Regions from separate parts of the Mus musculus genome. Here all the other regions are reported to be linked to region 4. The links are microRNA targets in miRTarBase. Many come from high-throughput screens and were not tested one by one. Region 4 holds a microRNA gene; each other region holds the end of a gene's coding sequence.
What was found. The annotated mature microRNA mmu-miR-124-3p reads UAAGGCACGCGGUGAAUGCC and lies in region 4 at 2,302-2,321, shown strand. An mRNA with a match to its seed (bases 2 to 7 or 8) in the 3' UTR can be bound and repressed. Matches are read on the target gene's strand: a 7mer-m8 pairs with bases 2 to 8, a 7mer-A1 pairs with bases 2 to 7 and ends in A, and an 8mer does both.

Region 1: the mRNA of Atp6v0e is a reported target of mmu-miR-124-3p. The part of its 3' UTR that is shown has no 7-base or 8-base seed match.
Region 2: the mRNA of Ydjc is a reported target of mmu-miR-124-3p. The part of its 3' UTR that is shown has no 7-base or 8-base seed match.
Region 3: miRTarBase lists Gata6 as a target of mmu-miR-124-3p. Seed matches in the 3' UTR shown: 7mer-m8 at 335-341.
Region 5: the mRNA of Rgma is a reported target of mmu-miR-124-3p. The part of its 3' UTR that is shown has no 7-base or 8-base seed match.

Annotation. Positions count from the first base shown.
Region 1 is chr17:26,695,238-26,698,880 of GRCm38, forward strand. It overlaps Atp6v0e (ATPase, H+ transporting, lysosomal V0 subunit E), which reads left to right. Exons shown (of 4, transcript NM_025272.2): 3 at 118-247. The coding sequence ends at 211. Among named protein-coding and RNA genes, the nearest start is that of Crebrf, 19 kb to the right of the region's middle.
Region 2 is chr16:17,148,297-17,151,939 of GRCm38, forward strand. Ydjc (YdjC homolog (bacterial)) reads left to right here. Exons shown (of 5, transcript NM_026940.4): 5 at 1-561. The coding sequence ends at 190. Among named protein-coding and RNA genes, the nearest start is that of Ydjc, 3.2 kb to the left of the region's middle.
Region 3 is chr18:11,084,271-11,087,913 of GRCm38, forward strand. It overlaps Gata6 (GATA binding protein 6), which reads left to right. Exons shown (of 7, transcript NM_010258.3): 7 at 45-1,365. The coding sequence ends at 212. Among named protein-coding and RNA genes, the nearest start is that of Gata6os, 34 kb to the left of the region's middle.
Region 4 is chr2:180,891,782-180,896,369 of GRCm38, forward strand. It overlaps Mir124a-3 (microRNA 124a-3), which reads left to right and starts at 2,259; the gene lies at 2,259-2,326.
Region 5 is chr7:73,417,842-73,421,484 of GRCm38, reverse strand. Rgma (repulsive guidance molecule family member A) reads right to left here. Exons shown (of 4, transcript NM_177740.5): 4 at 1,586-3,643. The coding sequence ends at 3,452. Among named protein-coding and RNA genes, the nearest start is that of A730056A06Rik, 44 kb to the right of the region's middle.

The DNA.
Region 1 (3,643 bases), not on the chromosome of region 4:
TGTCTGAATGGACTACACTGAAGTTGAACTAACAAGGTTTTTGAATCATATATGAAAATGGTTGTATTCTAGCCAGTTTCACAACTCTCTGCTTTTGTTCCTCCCCATGAATTTTAGTTGGCTGATTGCAATTCTGGCACAGCTCAATCCTCTGTTTGGACCACAGTTGAAAAATGAAACCATCTGGTATCTGAAGTACCACTGGCCTTGAGGATGAAGACGCGCTGCACAGTGCCTAGGCACTGAGGTGACTATGTTCTTGCCCTTTCTTGTGAACATTGACAGCCAGTCAGCTAGTATGTTTGCTATGGCCCTCAGAACTTCATGGCCATTTAAAGACAGCTGAGATAGCCGAAGAGTAGACTGGTTTAAAAAAAATTATTTATATATATATATATATTCTAAATAATAGAGCAAACCATTCTTTTTGTGTGTATTATTACCCTTTTAAAGTTTGGTGCAGGAGAGATGGTGCAGAGGGTGAAAGCTCTTGCATCCCTGGGATCCCCATCCACCTGCTGAGATCCTCAGCACTCGTCCTCTGATACACCTGTGCACGTGGTTCAAGACCGTAAGCTCCCCTGCAGGCTCCCAGCAGATTAGAAAGCGGGTAGTCTTAGTCTAACAGCACCTAACAATGGGAAGAAATGGCTAAACTATTGAAAATTAATGTCTTAGAATGCTTTGGGGAAAGGGAGACAATCCGCTGCTGAAGGTTGGGAATTGTATATGCCCGTAATTCCAGCATTGATTTCAGAGACAGGGGGATGATAAGTTCAAAGCCAGCCTGGGCTAGACCAGCTCAAGCTACAGAGTGACTCCAAAACAAAGAGGAAGTCAACTCAAGACGGAAGCTTTCATTTGATGCTGAGACCAGGTGGTAAACAGTGGCAGCGCGCAAAAGTTTACCCACTGGCTGAGTGGCAGGTCCCTTGTCATCTGATTCCTTTTCTCTGTTTTTTTTTTAAGATTTATTTATTATTATATGTAAGTACACTGTAGCTGTCTTCAGACACACCAGAAGATGGTTGTGAGCCACCATGTGCTTGCTGGGATTTGAACTCAGGACCTTCAGAAGAGCAGTCAGTGCTCTTAACCACTGAACCATCTCATCTCTCCAGCCCCCTCTGTTACTTTGTTAAATGGAAGCTAGTGTCAAGTGTTCAGAACAGAGCTGAGCCATTTTCTTAACATGCTTTTTGAAACGACTTTATTTATGTACATATTTATTTTACTTTTATATGTATGAATGTTTGCCTGCATGTGTGTCTTCGCATCACATTTTTGAAGTGCCCGAGGAGGCCAGACGTGGGCATCAGATCCCCTGAAACTTGTGTGAACTACCATATGGGTGCTGGGAGCCAGACTCAAGAAAGCAGCCAGTGTTCTTAAAGAAACTAAGCCATATCTCCAGCCTCTGAGCACTTCTTGAGAAAGATTGTCATTTGTCTAGAAGCTAAGGAGAGTTCTGAGCTGTGGCGGGCTCAGCTTTTGTTTCTTTAACCTAAGGTAAATAGTTTTAATAACATACCCTTCGAGATGTAATATAAGGTGTATGCTCATAGCTTGGGTCAGGGTCACCAAAGATCCCTTGAGTTACAAAACCAGGAACGTGGAGAATAAGAACATTTGGTCTTAGGTTCTAAGCAGCTCTGCACCATGGCTTCCCTCAAGCCTGCCCAGCCCGCCCTAGGACCTCCTTTCCTTCTTTCTTCTCTCTCTGCTCCTGACCTGGAGGTTCCAGGCCTGCTGTTTCCATGTTTCTAACTTAGCTCTTCGTCTCTCAATGCCCTACTTCGTTCACTGCGCTTAGAAGGCAGGTCAGCAAGTGTGTGTCTCTGGACATGGCCCTGACTCTGCCTCAGCTCCCGCCAGCTCTTAATGATTCAGATGTTTCAGGGCTCAGCCTGCAAATCCTGTGCTTGCTTCCTGACCACGGTTTCTAAGTGAGATCTTTCATCTCTAGATGCATATGGCTTTCTAATTGTTAACCACTCTTTTAATGCCCGTGCTTCTAACTGGCTTAGTCTTGTAGTTGAATAAGACTATTTTTGCATATTATAATAAAGAATAGTTTGAAATTTTATCTAAAATAACAGTTTAGAAACAAGAGTCAGACAGACAGAGACACATTCATTCACATACCCTTTTTTGGATGAATGGGGTTCTTCATTCTGGCCTTTTGTTATTTTTTATTTGTTTTGGGTTGATTGGTTGGTTGGTTAATGGTTGGTTGCTTTTTGTTCTGTTTTTGTTTATTTTTGTTTGTTTGCAAGACCCGGTTTCTTTGTGTAGCCTTGGCTGTCCTGGAACTCGATCTGTAGACCAGGCTGACCTTGAACTCATGGAGATCCACTTGAGTGCTGGAATTAAAGGTGTGCACCACCACTGCCCAGCTGGCCTTGGTATTTTTAAGTTACTGTCTCAGTCCCTTCCCCCGTCACCGTTCTCAGGTTTTCTCTTGGCTACCTTAGTGAGTTCTTTGTTTTACACACAGGTTCTGGATTGGTTGTTCCAGCTCCATCCTCAGCTCGTTATTTCCACATCATGGAGAGGACTCCATGCTCCTTAGCTCACCCAACACAGAGCCCTGGAGCCACACTTAACTCTAGTTCAGCTGTCACCAGTGACGCTGAGTAAAAGGACTTCCTAGTGTGTGGGTTTATTAAAGAAAAATGAAGGTCATTTTCCTCCTTTGTGATTCTTTATTTTTTAAAAAAAAAAAAAAAAGGCTAATGAGATGGTCCAGGAGTTAAGAATGGATCCTCTTCTTACAGAGGGCCCAAGTTCAAATCCTAGCACCCAGACTGAACCACATACAACCTCCTGCAACTCCATTCCCAAGAGATCCAGTGCACCCTTCTGAACTGTGAGGGCACTGCACGCACGTGAGCACACAACACCTCTGCCCCTCCCACAGATACACATGTATACACACAAGTAAAAATAAAATACCTCTTTAAAAAGTCCAGAGGGGCCCGGGGAGTGGTGGCGCACGCCTTTAATCCCAGCACTTGGGAGGCAGAGGCAGGCGGATTTCTGAGTTCAAGGCCAGCCTGGTCTACCGAGTGAGTTCCAAGGCAGCCCGGGCTACACAGAGAAACCCTGTCTCGAAAGTCCAGAGGGTAAGGAAGTCTGTCAGTGCATCACTGTTCATAGAAGATTCCCACAGAGCTATCTGCAGTCTCCAGCCAACTTTATCATCTGCCTAGAATAGAATGTCTTCAGAGCAGCTTTTCTGCCAGCCCAGGCCAGGGAAAGAAAGTGACCACAGGAACAGTCTGCTCTGACAGTTGCCACCTCAGCCTGGTGCTCTCCTAGCGCACTGTAAAAACCATCCTTGAGTTATTCCATTTTCCTCTGTTTTCTGGTGCTGGGGATTGCTGAGCATGCCGTCTGTCACACTCTCTGTCCCACCCTCTCTGAGGGAGCCACAGCCCCAGATCTCCTCTCATTAAATCTTGAGTTGAATGCATATTGTTTGCAGTATCCTGCACTGGGACATAATGGGACTCCAGAAGGTTTGTTGTAGGCATGGTGGCTTTCCTACTTTCTCCTCGAGCTCTCCTCTGCCTTCCTCCTCTGTCTTCAACTTTTACATTTTATATAGTGTTTTGCTGCATGTGTGCTCTAGCCCTGACTA
Region 2 (3,643 bases), not on the chromosome of region 4:
CCCCAGTGTGCCTCCAGCAGGGGGCTGCGGTGAGGGCCCAGATGCGTTCTCTTGTTCTTGGGAGCGGCTGCATGAGCTGCACGTTCTCACAGCACCCACTTTGCGGGCTTGGCTGGCCCAAAATGGTGTGCAGCTCTGCGCCATTGATGACCTGGATTCCAAAAGGCCTGGGGAAGGGGTCCCCTTGTGAGGCAACTCTGGAACCTTTCCTGGAGCCTTCCTCACTCAGACACCGAAGGCCAGCTACAAACTGCCTAAAACTATGGAGGAAGGCCAAGGCTAAAGTTCCAGTTCAGTCAGGCCTTGGAGCAGGGTCTGACTTCCTAGAGTGAAAAGCCACTAAATCCTGTTTCCAGGTCCTCTAGGCTGAGTAGTGAGTAGTAGGCCGACCTTGGGCAGCCTTACCTGGCTGCAGGGAGGCCCAGTCTGTGACATCTGGACGTAAGGACAGCTGAGCGATTATTTGGTGCCAGTTCGTGTTGTAGTTACAACCACTTGTTTAAGAGCAATGGGAAGAGGCTGGTGTGTTAATAAAATAATGTCTTTCAGATTTGGCTGGTTTATAAAGTGTCCAGGTATCCTTCAGAGAAATAAGAGTGGGCACAGAGAACTCCTTAGAGGCTCAGACCAAGACATACAAAAACATCTTTACATTCCAATTCTGCACATGCTTATATGTTTTAAATCCTTTTTTAGAAAAATATTACATACACTTGTTTGTGTTGGGGGAGTAATATGCGTACCATGGCACGTGTTTTCTTTTTGAGATGGATAGTATCTTACCACATTGCTCAGACTAGCCTTCGAATCCTAGGCTCAAGGGGTTGTCCACCACCACCGACTTGTTGAGACTGCAAGCACACACCACTGTGCCCTAGCCATGACTACATTCTTTTCTTAAACAAACATACAAACAAAAATGTATTCCGTGGCTGGTGAGATGGCTCAGCAGTTAAGAGCACTGACAGCTCTTCTGAAGGTCCTGAGTTCAAACCCCAGCAACCACAGCTCACAAACATCCATAACAAGATCTGACACCCTCTTCTGGAGTGTCTGAAGACAGCTAGAGTGTACTTACAGATAATAAATAAATGAATTTTTAAATGTCTTTATTTATATGATGAGTACACTGTATCTGTCTTCAGACACACCAGAAGAGGACATCCGATCCCATTATAGATGGTTTTGAGCACCATGCGGTTGCTGGGAATTGAACTCAGGGCCTCTGGAAGAGCAGTCAGTGTTTTTTAATCGCTGAGCCATCTCTCCACCCCCATTCTTTTTTCTTTCTTTCTCTTTCTTTCTTTCTTTCTTTCTTTCTTTCTTTCTTTCTTTCTTTCTTTCTTTCTCTTTCTTTCTTTTTTTTTTTTTTCAAGACAGGGTTTCTCTGTATAGCCCTGGCTATCCTGGAACTCACTCTGTAGACCAGGCTGGCCTAGAACTCAGAAATCCGCCTGCCTCTCTGCCTCCCAAGTGCTGGGATCAAAGGCGTGCGCCACCATGCCCGGCCCTTCTCTTTCTTAAGGGAGGGGGACAAGATTCATTAGGGTGCTCTGGGGAGGCACATGATAACCATAATTTTGATTTAAAAAGAGGTTATCTGGGGGGAGGGGCAGCAAGATGGGCTCAGTTGGGTAAAAATCCTTGAGTTTGATCCCTGGGATTCTGGTGGAAGGTAAGAATCAACTTCTAAAAGTTGTCCTCATCTGGGTGCCACAAACCCACACAGACTTTATATACATGCTATAGAAGTCGTTTTAGTTGTCTTGGGAAAAAAGTAATCTGTTATATGTAAGCCATTTCAGGGGACAGATGGAAAAAGGAGTGTTACATTTCCCCAGGAAAGTAGTCTTCTGCTGACATGATAAACTAGGATTCTAGCGATGTCTGATGACGTATGGATGCTCTGTGGGCAGTAGGGAGTAGAAGGGAAGAGCACACCTCACACTGTTTCTGAGGATGGAAAACATGATCCTCCTTTTGGTAGTGGGGACTGAGTCTATAGTTTCACACACGCATGCTAGGCAAGACAGCTGGGCTGTCTTTGATACTCATATTGCCAATGATGACACTGAACTTCAGGTCTTTCTGCCTCCACTTCTCAAATGCTGGGATTGCAAGTGTGCACTGCCCGTCAGTCCCAGGTAACATGGTTTTAGGATTAAGCCCAAGGCTTCCTATCAACTAAACTACACCTCCAGCCCTTACATGTCCCAGGCCCCCACTAGACTTAGAAGTGGGAGTTGTAGAGCGGGGCTTTGAACTTGACATGACTTACATCCATCCTGCAGCTGGGGGCTGGGAGGAAAGGAAGCTCTCTCTCATTTGGCCTGGTAATGGCCTGGTAAGACTTTGTGGCTTTCAGAAGGAATGGCTCCTCCTCTCTTGCCTTCATTCCCTTGATAGGCTCCAGTCTATTATAACCTTCCTGGACCTTGGCCTGGGCAGGTTCAACTCTGCAATGTCTGTGACCAAGTTTTCTATTCACTTCCTCATGTTTCTAGAGACAGCTCTTGGAGTGTGACTACAGCGGAGTGCTCAGAAGGCTTTGCCGAGTTCTGTTCTGCTGGGATACTGCCCAGCTTACAAACGGAAAATCAGTGTGATCTAGGCCACACTGGAGGAAAAGGAAGGTCCCCTGAAAGCTTCCTTCCCTGCACCTTGGGCATAGCACTGGGTATGTGGTCTGTACTCTGTTTTCCCAGGATTGCTGTCTGAAGAACTGAACTGTGTAGTCATCCAGGAAACGCCATTCACCAGGCATAGCCTGGGCTGGGCACCCTGTTGCAGTCAATCTCTTCCTCAGCCTTATTCTCTGTAGTAGTACTGAGAGTAAAGGGGTAGTACTGTTTGCTCACACTGGACATGAGCAGGGCAGGAAAAGCCAAACTTGACTTCTCCCTCAACTAGACTGCACAGCATGTTGTGTGGGGACACATCTCGTAGGGCTAGAGAAAACGACACACCAAATAAAAGTTGAGTGCCTTACAAGCTGCTTACTCAGCAGTGGGGGAACCATGGGTCTTTGGCCACAGGAGCCTTGGGAGTAAAAGGTAAGGATAAAGGGGATATGGGACTTATGAACTATGCACTCCCTTGAGAAACATGCTGGGGAGGGAGAGTGAATGAAGGAGTATGATTGGAAGTTCAAACCCAGCAGTGCCCCAGGAATGTTTGGAGGCAAAGGTAACATGACATTCTAGGATGTATTCCTACAAGATCGGCAGATACAACTAAGAAGGTACCCTCAATTCCATCTGGTGCCCACATGTCACAGGCCTGTGCCCAACTGAGGTTAATGCATGCTGTAGTGCCTTAGCAGTAGCTCTCTGGGAACCTCAGAGAGTCTCCAGATAATGACTAGGATTCAAGGAAAAGGCCTAAGATATATAATCTTGCGTTCTGAGACCTTGATCAATCCTCTCTTCTTGACTTGTTCTTCTCAACTTTGCTAAATTAAGTTCATACTTTCTTGGAGCTACAAGGATGGAAGTAACAAGGGGCCAGTCTCCTTGATAGCCATGGGGTCTCTTGAGATTTTCCCAGTGTTGACTCCCCTATCTACTTCTACCTGGCAGACAGAACCACCTGTACACCTCTTTTAGAGGCTGAGAAGTGGAGGAAAGATTAGAGGCCCAGTCAC
Region 3 (3,643 bases), not on the chromosome of region 4:
TGATGTATAACCATCTCTCCCCCTCTGTTCTCTTCTTCCATCAGGTAGGGGCATCAGTGATGTCTGCAGTGGGAGAAAACGCCAACCCCGAGAACAGTGACCTCAAGTATTCAGGTCAAGACGGCCTCTACATAGGTGTCAGTCTGTCCTCCCCTGCCGAAGTCACATCCTCCGTGCGACAGGATTCTTGGTGTGCTCTGGCCCTGGCCTGAGCTGGTGCTACCAAGAGGCAAGGAGGGCTCTGAAGGCCTCATACCACTTGTGTCTGATATTGTCCAGCAGTCCAGATGGCAGCAAAAATGCAGACATAACATTCCTTCGATGCGTGATTTCTGTGCCTTTGTTTTGAAAGAGATATATTTCTCAAGAAGCTTACTGAAGTAAGAAGAGATGGGCTTTTGCAGGAAGGGCCAGCACCGTGGGCATGTGGCCTGCTCCTGCCAGCCTGGGCTGCTTCCTGCCTCTGACTCTGCCCCATACCAGTGGGAGAAACTGTGACAATGACCGGGGCCTTGTCTGCTAAGGAAGATTGAGAGATTTAAGAGAAAATGTTTGTGTATTGCTCCAAATCATGTGCTTCTTGTGATCAACCTCGGTTATCCCAGAACCCATTCATCCCCGACCACCGTGCACATTTCACAAGCGTTCGTGGAGAGGAGCACTGGGAGCCATTTGGTCTATCCTGGAGGCGGAGTGCATTCCTGGGGTCTCAACAAGAATATTAATTTGCAAGATTGCATCATGACAGACACTGACTGACTTATCTCAACGTTCATCGTAACGTGGCTGATCTGAGGTCACTTGGAATTTGTAAACAGGGTAGCAAACAAGATATTTTTCTTCCATGTACACAATAATTTTTTTAAGTGCAATTTGCGTTGCAGCAATCAGTGTTAAATCATTTGCATAAGATTTAACAGCATTTTTATAATGAATGTAAACATTTTAACTTAATGGTACTTAAAATAATTTAAAAAAAAGTTAACTTTAGACATATGCTTCTTACACTCACAGCCCACTTCTGTGTTCCCAATTGTTTAAAAGAAAAAAAAAAAGATTTCAAGAACAAATCTTCTCTCAGGAAATTGCCTTTTCTCCATTTATGAATTTTTATACAAGAACACCAACACAGTCCCCGTTCTTTTACTGAGGAAAAAGTGCTGGAAATTGCAACAAACCTTTACTACCTAGAGAATAGCATTTGTAAATATTCTAAGTATCTGTAACACTCTTGACGCCTGTACCACGTGACCAACCCACAGGTTGGTTTACATTATTATTTTTTTTAATGGGATATCATATGGAAACCTATTTCACCAGAGTTTTAAAAAATAAAAAGGGTATTGTTTTGTGTTCTGTACAGTGAGATCCTTCCTTTTCATCTTATTTCAATGCTGTGTGTGACTCTAAGGTGTCACATAGAACAAGTGCAGTGGTGTTTGCAAGCTGCCTTGAGACCTTTATCTAAAAGAATTGTTCTTTGGGGGCCATTGTGCACCTTGGATTATTTGGAATGGCACATGGAATGCCAGTTGGAAGCACTTCTTATAAATGAATATGAGATTTATGGGGCAACATTGTCTGAGATTATGAGCAGTCTGTTTCAGATCATTGCTTGAAAACATGCTAGCCAGTTCTTCTAGACTTCTTTGTGAATGACTATACTCTGGGACTCTTGGTCAGAACACTTTCCTTCCTGGTCCCCACTTCTGCATAGTGCACCTCCAGGACTGCAGGGCTGACACCCACCAGACAACCTTTGTTGGGTGGATTTTAGGAAGTTAGGCAATTGTTAGTACAACTGGAAATGCTTTGAATGTCTGGCATTTTGAACTTGTTTTTTTGCAGATATTCTTGGTGTGGTAGATGAAATTTTATGGCAGAAAACTATAGACAGTGCTGGTAGGTGCTCAGGGTTGGTGTGTATATTTGGGGAATTCATAGGAGCAGAGCTGCCCCAGAGGCTAGACCTACTGGCTAAGAATGCTAGATATAAAACCAGACCACTAAGGCTTCAAGTCTCTGTTCTGTTCTGTGATAGATTATCCAACTAACTGCCACTTCCCATAGCCTGCAGAACAAGCAGTATAGAACTCTTGGGTTTGCTGCGAGATAATCCATGCACTGTTCCCACTGCAGTGTCTGTCACATGGTAGTAACTTGAATTTGAAGAAGGTTGGCAAGAGCTCCCACTCCTTGGGTGTGGATCCCAGCACTCCGGAGGCAGGAACAGGCAGATCTGGTCTACAGAATTCCAGGACAGCCAGGGAGGGCTGCACAAGGGAATGAATCCTGTCTTGAAAAACCAAAAGAATAACCAACCAACCAATCAACCAACCAAAAAATCAAAACCAAACTAAACCACCAACAAAGAGGAGGTGTGTGGGGCTCCCCTCACTCCCAGCCCAGGGGTATGGTGGAGATGAGCAGTGTATGTGTGAAGTTCAGTCCACCTTGGGCCAACTGCTTTATAGATCAGGGCTGCTCTAAGTGATCATCCGGGCACTGGTCATTCCTGTTCCTTGTACAGGTCTCATTACTTTGTGTGCCTTCTAGATGATGGGGGTATAAGTTAATAAGCTCTCAGTGATCATCTTTGGGAGGTGGGGGCATCTCATAAAACCTTCTTCAATTCTGAAATGTCATATAATTGCTAATTTTCCTTTATAACGGGGAAGGAATTCTAGGAACCATGGAATAAATGACAAGAGGCAGAGAAAAGGGTCAAGGCTTTTTGCAGTATGTTTTTTTAGCACAATTAGTAGTGCTCATCTGGGCCTTTAAATGATGCTGTCTTATTGTGACTCGACAGAACAGAAGTCCCTAACTTCCAAATGTACAGGTTTACCATGATTTTCTAAAGCCAGACTGACACAGTCTTTCTTTCTTTTTTCTCTTCTCTTCTCTTCTCTTCTCTTCCTCTTCCTCTTCCTCTTCCTCTTCCTCTTCCTCTTCCTCTTCCTCTTCCTCTCCTCTCCTCTCTTCTCTTCTCTTTCCTTCCTTCCTTCCTATCTTTTTTTTTTTTTTTAAGTCAAGTCCTACCATCTTCATACTGGCTCTGGATCTGCTGTGTAGCCCAGGCTGGCCTCTAAACTCTTAATCCTTGTACTTCTACCTCCAAGTGCTGGGAGTACAGGTATACACTACCAAGCCCAGTTTATTATTTTTCAATAGGGAATTAATTTAAGTAGATGTTGCTCCTTACCTTACAAAGCCCCTGAGCCCATTACCACAGGTTGCAGAATTTATTTCCTGTTACCCTTGTCTGATTTTAGGCTTATACAAGTGGAGCCTCTGTCTGGCCTCTAACTGCAGATTCCCTTAATGTTGTTTCCTGGTGTCTATGGGAGAGTCAGGAAAGCAAAGGCAGCCATTCACTTCTCCTGGCAAATAAATTAGCTTCTTGCTCAAGGGAAATGTTTTCCACAGGCCTTGGGAATTTGGAAGTTTCAGATCTCAGATAAATTAGCCCCTGGGAGGTAACACAGACCACAGTGGCTTTGCCAGGTCCCAGTCCAGGACGATACTGTGGCTTTGCATTTAGTCCTGTGTGCATCTGTGGATTCTGTGGATCCCCATGCCTTTAAGAAGAAAGTAGTGGGTACAGGGAAACTGAGGAGGCAGAGGGCAGACATTAATTCCT
Region 4 (4,588 bases):
TTGGTGTCATGGACGGTGCTGGGGACCTGACCCAGTACCCTCTAGGGAGAGGGACCACTGGCCAGGCAAAGAGGAGCTGGTTCCAACAGGGAGTAGCCTCTGCTCGGAGTCTAGATCCTCCACTCTTGAGCCACCAGCCAGTGTCCCTCGGGCTGCAGGTGCTGGCAGGCCGTGGGTGGTTTCCTTGACTTTGGGTTGGGCATAAGCAAAGGTGGGCTTAGCTGTCTGTGTAAGAGGGGATTCTCTAGCGTCGGTTGAGACTGGCACCTGCAAAGGGAAGGATTTGGGGTTGGGAGAGAAGTATCCTGACCCTCTGAGGACCTTCGGGCAGTGGGATGAGATCTCCGGAGATTACCTCCTTCCCAGCTGAGTGTCTTCGGGGGTTCCCACGGGGCTGGAGAAGGTTGGAAAGGGAGGGGGAAGAATTTATGCCTGGGTCATTTAGCTTCTGTTAGAGGGCAGGTGGTCAAGGGCTGGGTTGGCCCAGGGAGAAAGGATAGGACAGAGGCCTGCCTACTTCTGTGTGGTTCTTCCAGTCTGCAGGAACAAAGGCCCGCTGGGAAGGCCTAGAGTGGCGTGGGTTTTTTTTTTTTTTTTTTTTTGTTTTTTATTTTTGGAAAGCCGCTGATCTCTAGCCCTAAAGACCCAGATCAAGGTAGTCACCCTTCAATAGACTGCAAAGAGTAGATTCAATTGCAGTCAACTGTGAAGTATGGACTGTGTTTCTCCCATCCTCGTAAGCAAGGACTCGCTACCCAGCTAGAAAAAGGGTGAAAAAGGGGAGCAGTCTCTGATGGGGGTTGGGGGAGATGTCTAACTCCCTTCTCCACATAGGGCCGCCAGCAGGAGGCTAGGACCCCTTTCTTTCCCCCCCCCAGGAGAGAGAGGCTCAGAAGCCACTGTGTAGAGTGGTTATTCCGGAAGGACCAGCCGCTTGTGTGAGGCAAGCACAGTGTGTTCGCTGCACAGCGGGGTGTGGCTGGTGGTGGGTGTAGAGGAGCTGCGGTCGGTGGGCTGCGGGAGAAGCTTTTGCGTGGGTCGTGCAGTAGGACAGAATGAGCGGTTCGAGAGTGTCCAAGAGGCAGTTTCTCTGCATACGTGTGACCCCGGGGCGCCGGGCACAATCGAAGGCGTTCGAGGGCTGCATCCGTGTGAGTCGAGGAGCGCGCGGAGCGGGACGCCGAGCGTGTGCGCGGGAGGCACGGGTCGCGCGGTGCGTGAGTGCGCGTGTACGCGGTGCGCGTGCCCCTCAGTTCTCAAGGACACCTCCGAGAGGAGGCGGCAGAGCCGGTGTCGGGTGACGTCACCGCGCGCCCCAGTGATAATCGCCCGGTGCCGGAGCCGAGCGCGGATACGAGCGGAGGCAGCGGCGGCGGCGGCGAGCGCGGGGACGGTCGCACCCGGTCTAGGCAAGGAGAGTGGGAGTCAGACTCCCGCAGTGCCGACCTCGCGGACGCCGGGCTCCCACCCGGCCCTCAGGAATTTGCCCGGCTTCCTTGGCACTGTCCCTGCGCTCTCCTCCACCCGGGGCCGTAGCGTGCGGGTCCTGCGGGCGCCAAGAAGGAGGCGGAGGCGGGATCGGGCGACAGCGCAGGCTGTGCTGCGGAGCGGAGGCGGCAACCGAGAAGCAGCAGGCGGCGGCGGCTCGCGCCCGGACGGGTAACTGCGCTGGCGGCCCGTGCCGGGGCGAGCCGGTCTCTCAGGTCACCCCGTCTTTCTCTCCTCGAGCAGCTTCTCGCCAGCCAGAGGCGTAAGAGAAGAGAGCTCGGCGGGTTGTAGAAAGAGACTGCTTTTCATCTCCGAACATCGAGGTTCTTTATTTTCACCGCACTCACGCACTCCTGGTGGGGCCGGGAAGAGGAGCCGGGGAAGGGCAGCTGCGGAGAGGCTTGCGCCGCCGGGGTGGAGAGGGCTCTGCACCCGTCAGAAGACTGCAGCAGGCCGGAGCACGCGCGCTCACCCCGGCCGGCTCCTGCATCTCCCTCGCCGCGGCTCCGAGGGGTCCCTACTGCAGGAACGCCCCGAGGGATTTGCCCGGGCCCTTCTCTACCTCGGGGAGGGGAAGGAAAACTGGCTCCTCGGAGTTGGGGGCGGACCAGGGCAGCACTGCCAGCTTAGCGCGGAGCCCCGCCCCGCCCGCCCGCCCCGCGGCGAAGAAGCTGGAGCATTCGCGCCCCTCAGGCTAGGACCCCACGCAAGCCGCAGCCCGGCCCCGACCCGGTCCAGCCGCTCGCCGCCCGCCGCAGCCCTGAGGGCCCCTCTGCGTGTTCACAGCGGACCTTGATTTAATGTCTATACAATTAAGGCACGCGGTGAATGCCAAGAGAGGCGCCTCCGCCGCTCCTTTCTCATGGAAATGGCCCGGGAGCCCGGCCGTCGCGGCGCCCCTCCCGCGGGAAAAAGGCGAGCCCCGGCCCCCGGTGGCCCCTCGCTCCGCGGACAAATCCGGCGAACAATGCGCCCGCCCAGAGGGCGGCCCAGCTGCTGGGCCGGGGATCTGGCCGCGGGACACAAAGGGGCCCGCATGCCTAGGACGTCACGAGAAGGGTGGGGGCGACCGCGGGGGAGAATGTGGCCACCCGGCCCCTGACCACGTGTGTCCGCAGCTCTGAGTGCTCGAGATCCCGAAGAGGGAGACGAGGGCCAGAAGACAAAGGGAGGGGCTGGGGAAGCGGCGGGCTGAGGGGCGCGGGAGGGAAGTGTGCAGCTTCCCGGGTTGTGTTGGCGCGTCCCGCTACCCACGGGCAGTCCTGGGCGCTGTCCTCGGTGCTGGCCGTGGAGTCACCCAGAGAGACGGGGCGCTAATGCGCTTGGGGCGAAGGGATGTCATGAGTATCACTGTTCCCATCTAGGGGGCCCTGGATAGTTGCCGCAGCAACCCCAGAGAAATGGGGTAGGGTCTGGGGTCACTGCAGTCTGTCCCCTGGGCGCTCTAGTTGGGGTCGCAGGGTGAAGGCGGTGATCACTTTGATTCTGAAGAAACCCCTGAACCTTAGGTTGAGGTTCGAGCTGTGGAAGTGGGGGATCTGCATCTGCATCCAAGGTCTAAATCTGGGTGGATACACTGGACCGCATCCCGCCCCCAAACCTCTCTCCAGCTATGCGGGACGCGAGGCACGTGAGGCTCTGCAGCCCAGAGAGAAAATGACAAATCCTCCTCCTCCCTCCCCCACCACCATCTGCAGCCGCAGTGACACCCACTCAGGTCTGCTGCAGGCATTTTTTTTCCTGTCCTCGGCAGCCAGCGCCACCTGCTGGCGTCCTGGTATGAGACTCTGCTCTGGCATGTCTCCTCCCAGCAAGGTTTCCGATCCCCAAGGTTACAGGCCCTATTACCTAGGGCAATGGTTCTCAACCTTCAGAATGCTGCTACCCTTTAATAGAGTTCTTCATGTTGTGGTGACCCCTCCCCCCAACCATAAAATTATTTTCGTTGCTACTTCGTATTTTGTTGCTACTTCATAACTGCAATTTTGTTACTGTTATGAATCCTAATGTAAATATTTTTAGAGATAGAGTTTGGCAAAGGAGTCCTGATACACAGGTTGGAAACTGATGACCTAGGATTGACTGTCAGTGGAGGAGGTCACAACCTCTGCACCCCCACCCCCTCAGACAAGTTGCAGACTTGCTTTTCATCTTCATGGGGTGAGTGTGAGCCCCTTTCCTGGCTCTGACCCAGATCCAGAACTGACCGCCCAAATTCTCCTAGCCTCAAGTCCTGTGCAGTTGCAGAAAAGCAAGACAAAAGGGCCCGCGTGAAGACACAAAGAGATGCTGCAGGGAGACTGCTTCAGTACTCCATGGAGAGATGCACACAGTCACACACTCATAGACCACTAGTGCCTTTGCATCCTGTCCCCAAAGCAGAGCCTCTGCAGAACCTCTGCCTCTTGGAGGGTGGAGAAGGGGCCCAAGCATACCACAGCTCTGACCTTGGGCTTGCTGTCTCTTTTTCCCTTCCTCCCTCAGAAGAGCTGCAAGGTGAACTCAAAGCAATACTGAAGGAATTGGTAGAGGTATCAGTCCTCTAGTGTAAAGGTTCCTAGGGGGCACAGGACTATGCCCCTCGTTGAGCTCTGTTGGGGGTGCTCTACACTGCAGCCTGGCTCTTTTCCCAGAGGGAAGATTCCCCCTGCCTCTCCCCTGGAACTAGAGCTCCATTCTTGTGCCACCGCTGCCCTTGCTGGAGAGTTGGCTCCTGACCACAGTGACCTTCTGGGCTGTGAGCAGAGATCGGGGTGGGGAGGATGGTAAGGGAGGTGGGCTGGAGAGTGGATAGGCGGTAAAGCCCATGGCAAGCTGCCCTGTGCCCCAGCCCAGGTTGAGTAGCAATCACCTTCACTCACCTTCATTGCACCCCCTTCAGTGGAGGCTAGGGGCTTCAGTTCAGGGGCACAGGACCAATCTGGGCATGGCTAGCAGACATGGGGCATTCGGTAGGAAGGCCATTTTTCAATCCTTACTGTGCTCAGGGTGCAGCACTGTCTGCTGGGGTGTGGGCAGGCCTCACGCAGGTGACTTAGAATCTCAGATCTACCCGTAGGGGGCTGAGTGCAAGCATCACTCTCTGACTCTCGGGACCAGC
Region 5 (3,643 bases), not on the chromosome of region 4:
GGCTATGCGAAAGCTCTTCGGTTGCCAGGCTGACTGGCCTCGGCCCAGGTCTGCACCAGAGCAACTGTCATGCACAAGGAAGATGGGAGCACTCAGACTTAACTCAGAGCAACTGTCATGCACAAGGAAGACGGGAGCACTCAGACTTAACTCAGACCAACTGTCATGCACAAGGAAGATGGGAGCACTCAGACTTAACTCAGACCAACTGTCATGCACAAGGAAGATGGGAGCACTCAGACTTAACTCAGAGCAACTGTCATGCACAAGGAAGACTGGAGCACTCAGACTTAAGGTGCTGGCCCCGGACATTTGAGATGCAAATTCCCCTGTTCTGGAGGGCAGTGAGCGGTGTGGTATTTAGGAAAGAATTCTTGTGGGTTAAATTTAGGAGCCTGAAAAAAATTCCAAGCCCCACATATTTTTTTGGCAAGTGTCACATGGCACTTTCATCTGATGGAGAGTGAAGGACTTTTTGCCTGGGCCTGGCTTTTCCACAGTCTGTCCAGCGTGTGGCTCGGGCCAATGGCCCCGCCATTGCTATGCTGTTCCCCTGGGATTGTTTTCTTTAACAATCCCACTGACCACTGGGGGGGCCAGGCCTTTGGTGACTGACAATGCAGGAGAGTGGGTGCATTTAGCTCTTTCCTCCTAGATCAACCCTTCAGGGTCTTTGTTTAAGAGCCTGTGGTTTTGCTTGTTTCTTTGTTTCAAGCAAGGCTCTTGAACATTCTCTCTCTCCTCACATCTGGTGCTGAGGTTGTGTGTCCGGTGGGCATAAATGCTCTCTGGATTTCTCCTCTTACTGGCCTTTCGTCTCCTCCCCAGTCTTGCGGGTTCCTCTCCTCTGGGGAGCAGATGAAGACATTGCTGGGAGCTGTTGGGAGCCTCAGAGGGTTAAGTGACTTGACCAAGCTTACTTATCTGGGACTTAAACTTGACTTGAACAGAGTATCACAAGCAAAATTGACCTAGGTGTATGCCTTGGCTCTGCCCTTGACAGGGAGGGCATGGTACAGGGGGGCACATCTCACACAGATCTTCAATCTGTTAAATGGTTTGGGTCCCGTGACACTGAATCACGGCGACAACATGTGCCCGTAGTCAGCAGGGAGCCTGGCTTTGCACACGTCTGGACAGTGGTGCTATCAGAGCACATCACTGGGCCCCTAGGCTGGGTGCTAAGGGATGTTGAAGGGGTCGAGTTGTGGCTGGGGCTTCTCGGTCATGCTGGCTTGGATGAAGCCATTATGGACCGCAGACCCTCCTCCATTCCAGACTCTGTTCTAGACAACAGCTCTCAGCCTTTCATCGTATAACATCGGTCTGCCCTGACGTGCCCAGAGCAAGGGGAAACGGACCAACCAAGTCCTTCTAACGGCTCAGGCATAGGAAGGAAGAGAGGTAATCTCAGTCCCCGAAGGCCATGGTGGTTAAACAGCTGCATCTCACAGCTCACACAACTTGGGCCCACACAGCCCCGTCTTGACACACTTTGTAGTGGGGACACATCCACCCACCCACCTCACCTCTCCACCCCGCAAGGACCAAAGTCTGTTTCGAAAATAAACTCCAACAGCTCATCTAAAAGAAAAATAACAAAACAAAACCAACTTTACTTGCATTTAGCCGTTAATAAATAATTTACAGTATGTACACGCAGTGGCTCTCCACACAGGTCGCACACAGGTGGACTCAGTGAGGGGTCCCCACTTCCAAGCAGAACGTGATCAAACACAACCAAAATAAAGTGCTTCAACTCTTTTACTTCCAACATAGGGATAGCTGAAAAACCAGCAGGGGGCAGCGGAGCTGACCCCTCCCAGCTACCCACGTGGTTTTGGCAGGGGTTTGGACCTCTGGGAGGGAGAGGCAGGTTCTGCAGCCTCCCGGCCAGTGTATGAGAGGTCCCTGGGGGGTGGGGCTGGGGTAGGCTCTGCAGGGCCGCTGGCTGGGTGGCCCAGGGGGGCTGGCGGTACCGCCATGCTGGTTCCTTGGGGGGCCTCTGGAACAGCAGAAGAGATGGGAATGGCTCTGGGCTCTGTGGATGGACTCTGGCCTTGAGCTGAAGGAAAGAAAGCTAGGTTCCCAGTGACAGGCCTCTCTCTGGCTGTGGCCAGAGAGTTGAAAGAAGGTTCTAGTGGGAGGAGAACCCGCCAGGCAGGGTCATGGTGCAGGAAGGCCTCTTAGAAGGTGCTCCCCTCAGTTCCCACAAAGAAATGCAGACAAGAGGGCTGGGGGGTGTAGCTGCTGACCAGCAGCAGGGGAAGTCTAGGAGACAAGTGAAAGGGCAGAGGACAGGGCAGGCCAGCTGGCCCTATCCACTGGATCTGCTGCTCATGCCCTGAGACCCCAGCCCCTCTCTGGTGGGGACTCTTATGTCTGCTGGCGGGGGCAGGGGTGAGGGGTGGGGGTAGGGGTGGCGATGGCAGGAACCGGAGGATCACGTCTCTGTTGAAACATTCAGAATGACAGCACTTCGATTTCTTAAGTGCAATGGGAGAGGGGCAGAGGGTGGAGCCAGAGTTGGGGATCTGAGCCCATGAATGGTACCGCTTAGACCTCAGGCCAAAACACACCCTCCCTTCAACTGTGGGGCTTTGCAGGCAGGTGCCTGGATGCAGCACCTCAGACACATCCACAGTAGCTGGATGCACGGGACAGTCCCTGCGTAGCACTGGGTAGGAAGGGACCAGGAGGGCACAGCCTCCTGGCTACAAGGTTACATCCATTTGCTAAAGATGCTGAGCAGGGCTCTCTGGTATGCCCTTAGTCACACTGCTAAGGAGTACCTGCCTGGGGATAGAATCTTGGAAATGCTTCTGCCTTCCTGATGTGGGGTCTTGGGGGTGTCCCCATGGGCTTAGTGTGTGCGAGTGTGCTTGTGTAACAGTGTGCGCGAGAGTGTGTGGGAGGGCACAGGGGCCCCAGAGTAGGTGTGCAGCAGTCAGCCGGGCCTGTCTCAGTGCATTGTGAGGGTGTGGAAGGAGCCGACTTTCCCAGTGTCTCTCTGGTGATGGGGGCGGGGGGGGGGTGGACTTCAGCTTAGGGGGCTCTGGTTCGCACATTCACACGATGGGGGTCAGGGTAGAGGGAGCTGCTCTCTCCCTCACACAACTCTACTGTCACAAAAACACAGCATCAATCACCACAACCTTGTTGCGTGCACAAATCAAGAGGGGAGAGCTGTCCCACGCGCCCTTCACCCCGGCCAAAACATCTGCAGACGGCTCTGAGGGCACCATGCTCAGGCCGTCAGCTGCGGAGGCCACCTCTGCTGAACGGTTGGTTGGTCTGCAGAGAACACTGGGTCTCAGGGAGCCAGCCCACCTGCTGGGCTGCATCCTGAGGCTGACTTGAGCCCTCAGACAAAAGGAGAAGCCAGGGGCAGGAGCCCAAGGCTCAGGGCAGTCGTTACTCTCCTCTGTATCCTACCTACATGGCCAACTGTCTACCACAACACAGGCAGGAGGACCAGAAGTGGGATGGTGCCAAGGAGAATCTGGGGGGCCAAGGGGAATGTGGTGGCAGCGGCGGCGGCGGCGGCCACGGCTCCTGGCAGCTCCCGAGTCCTTTCAAACAGATGCAGCTTGTCCTTGTTGGAGTGGAGCATCTTGCCATCCTCCAAAGCATAGTAGGCAGC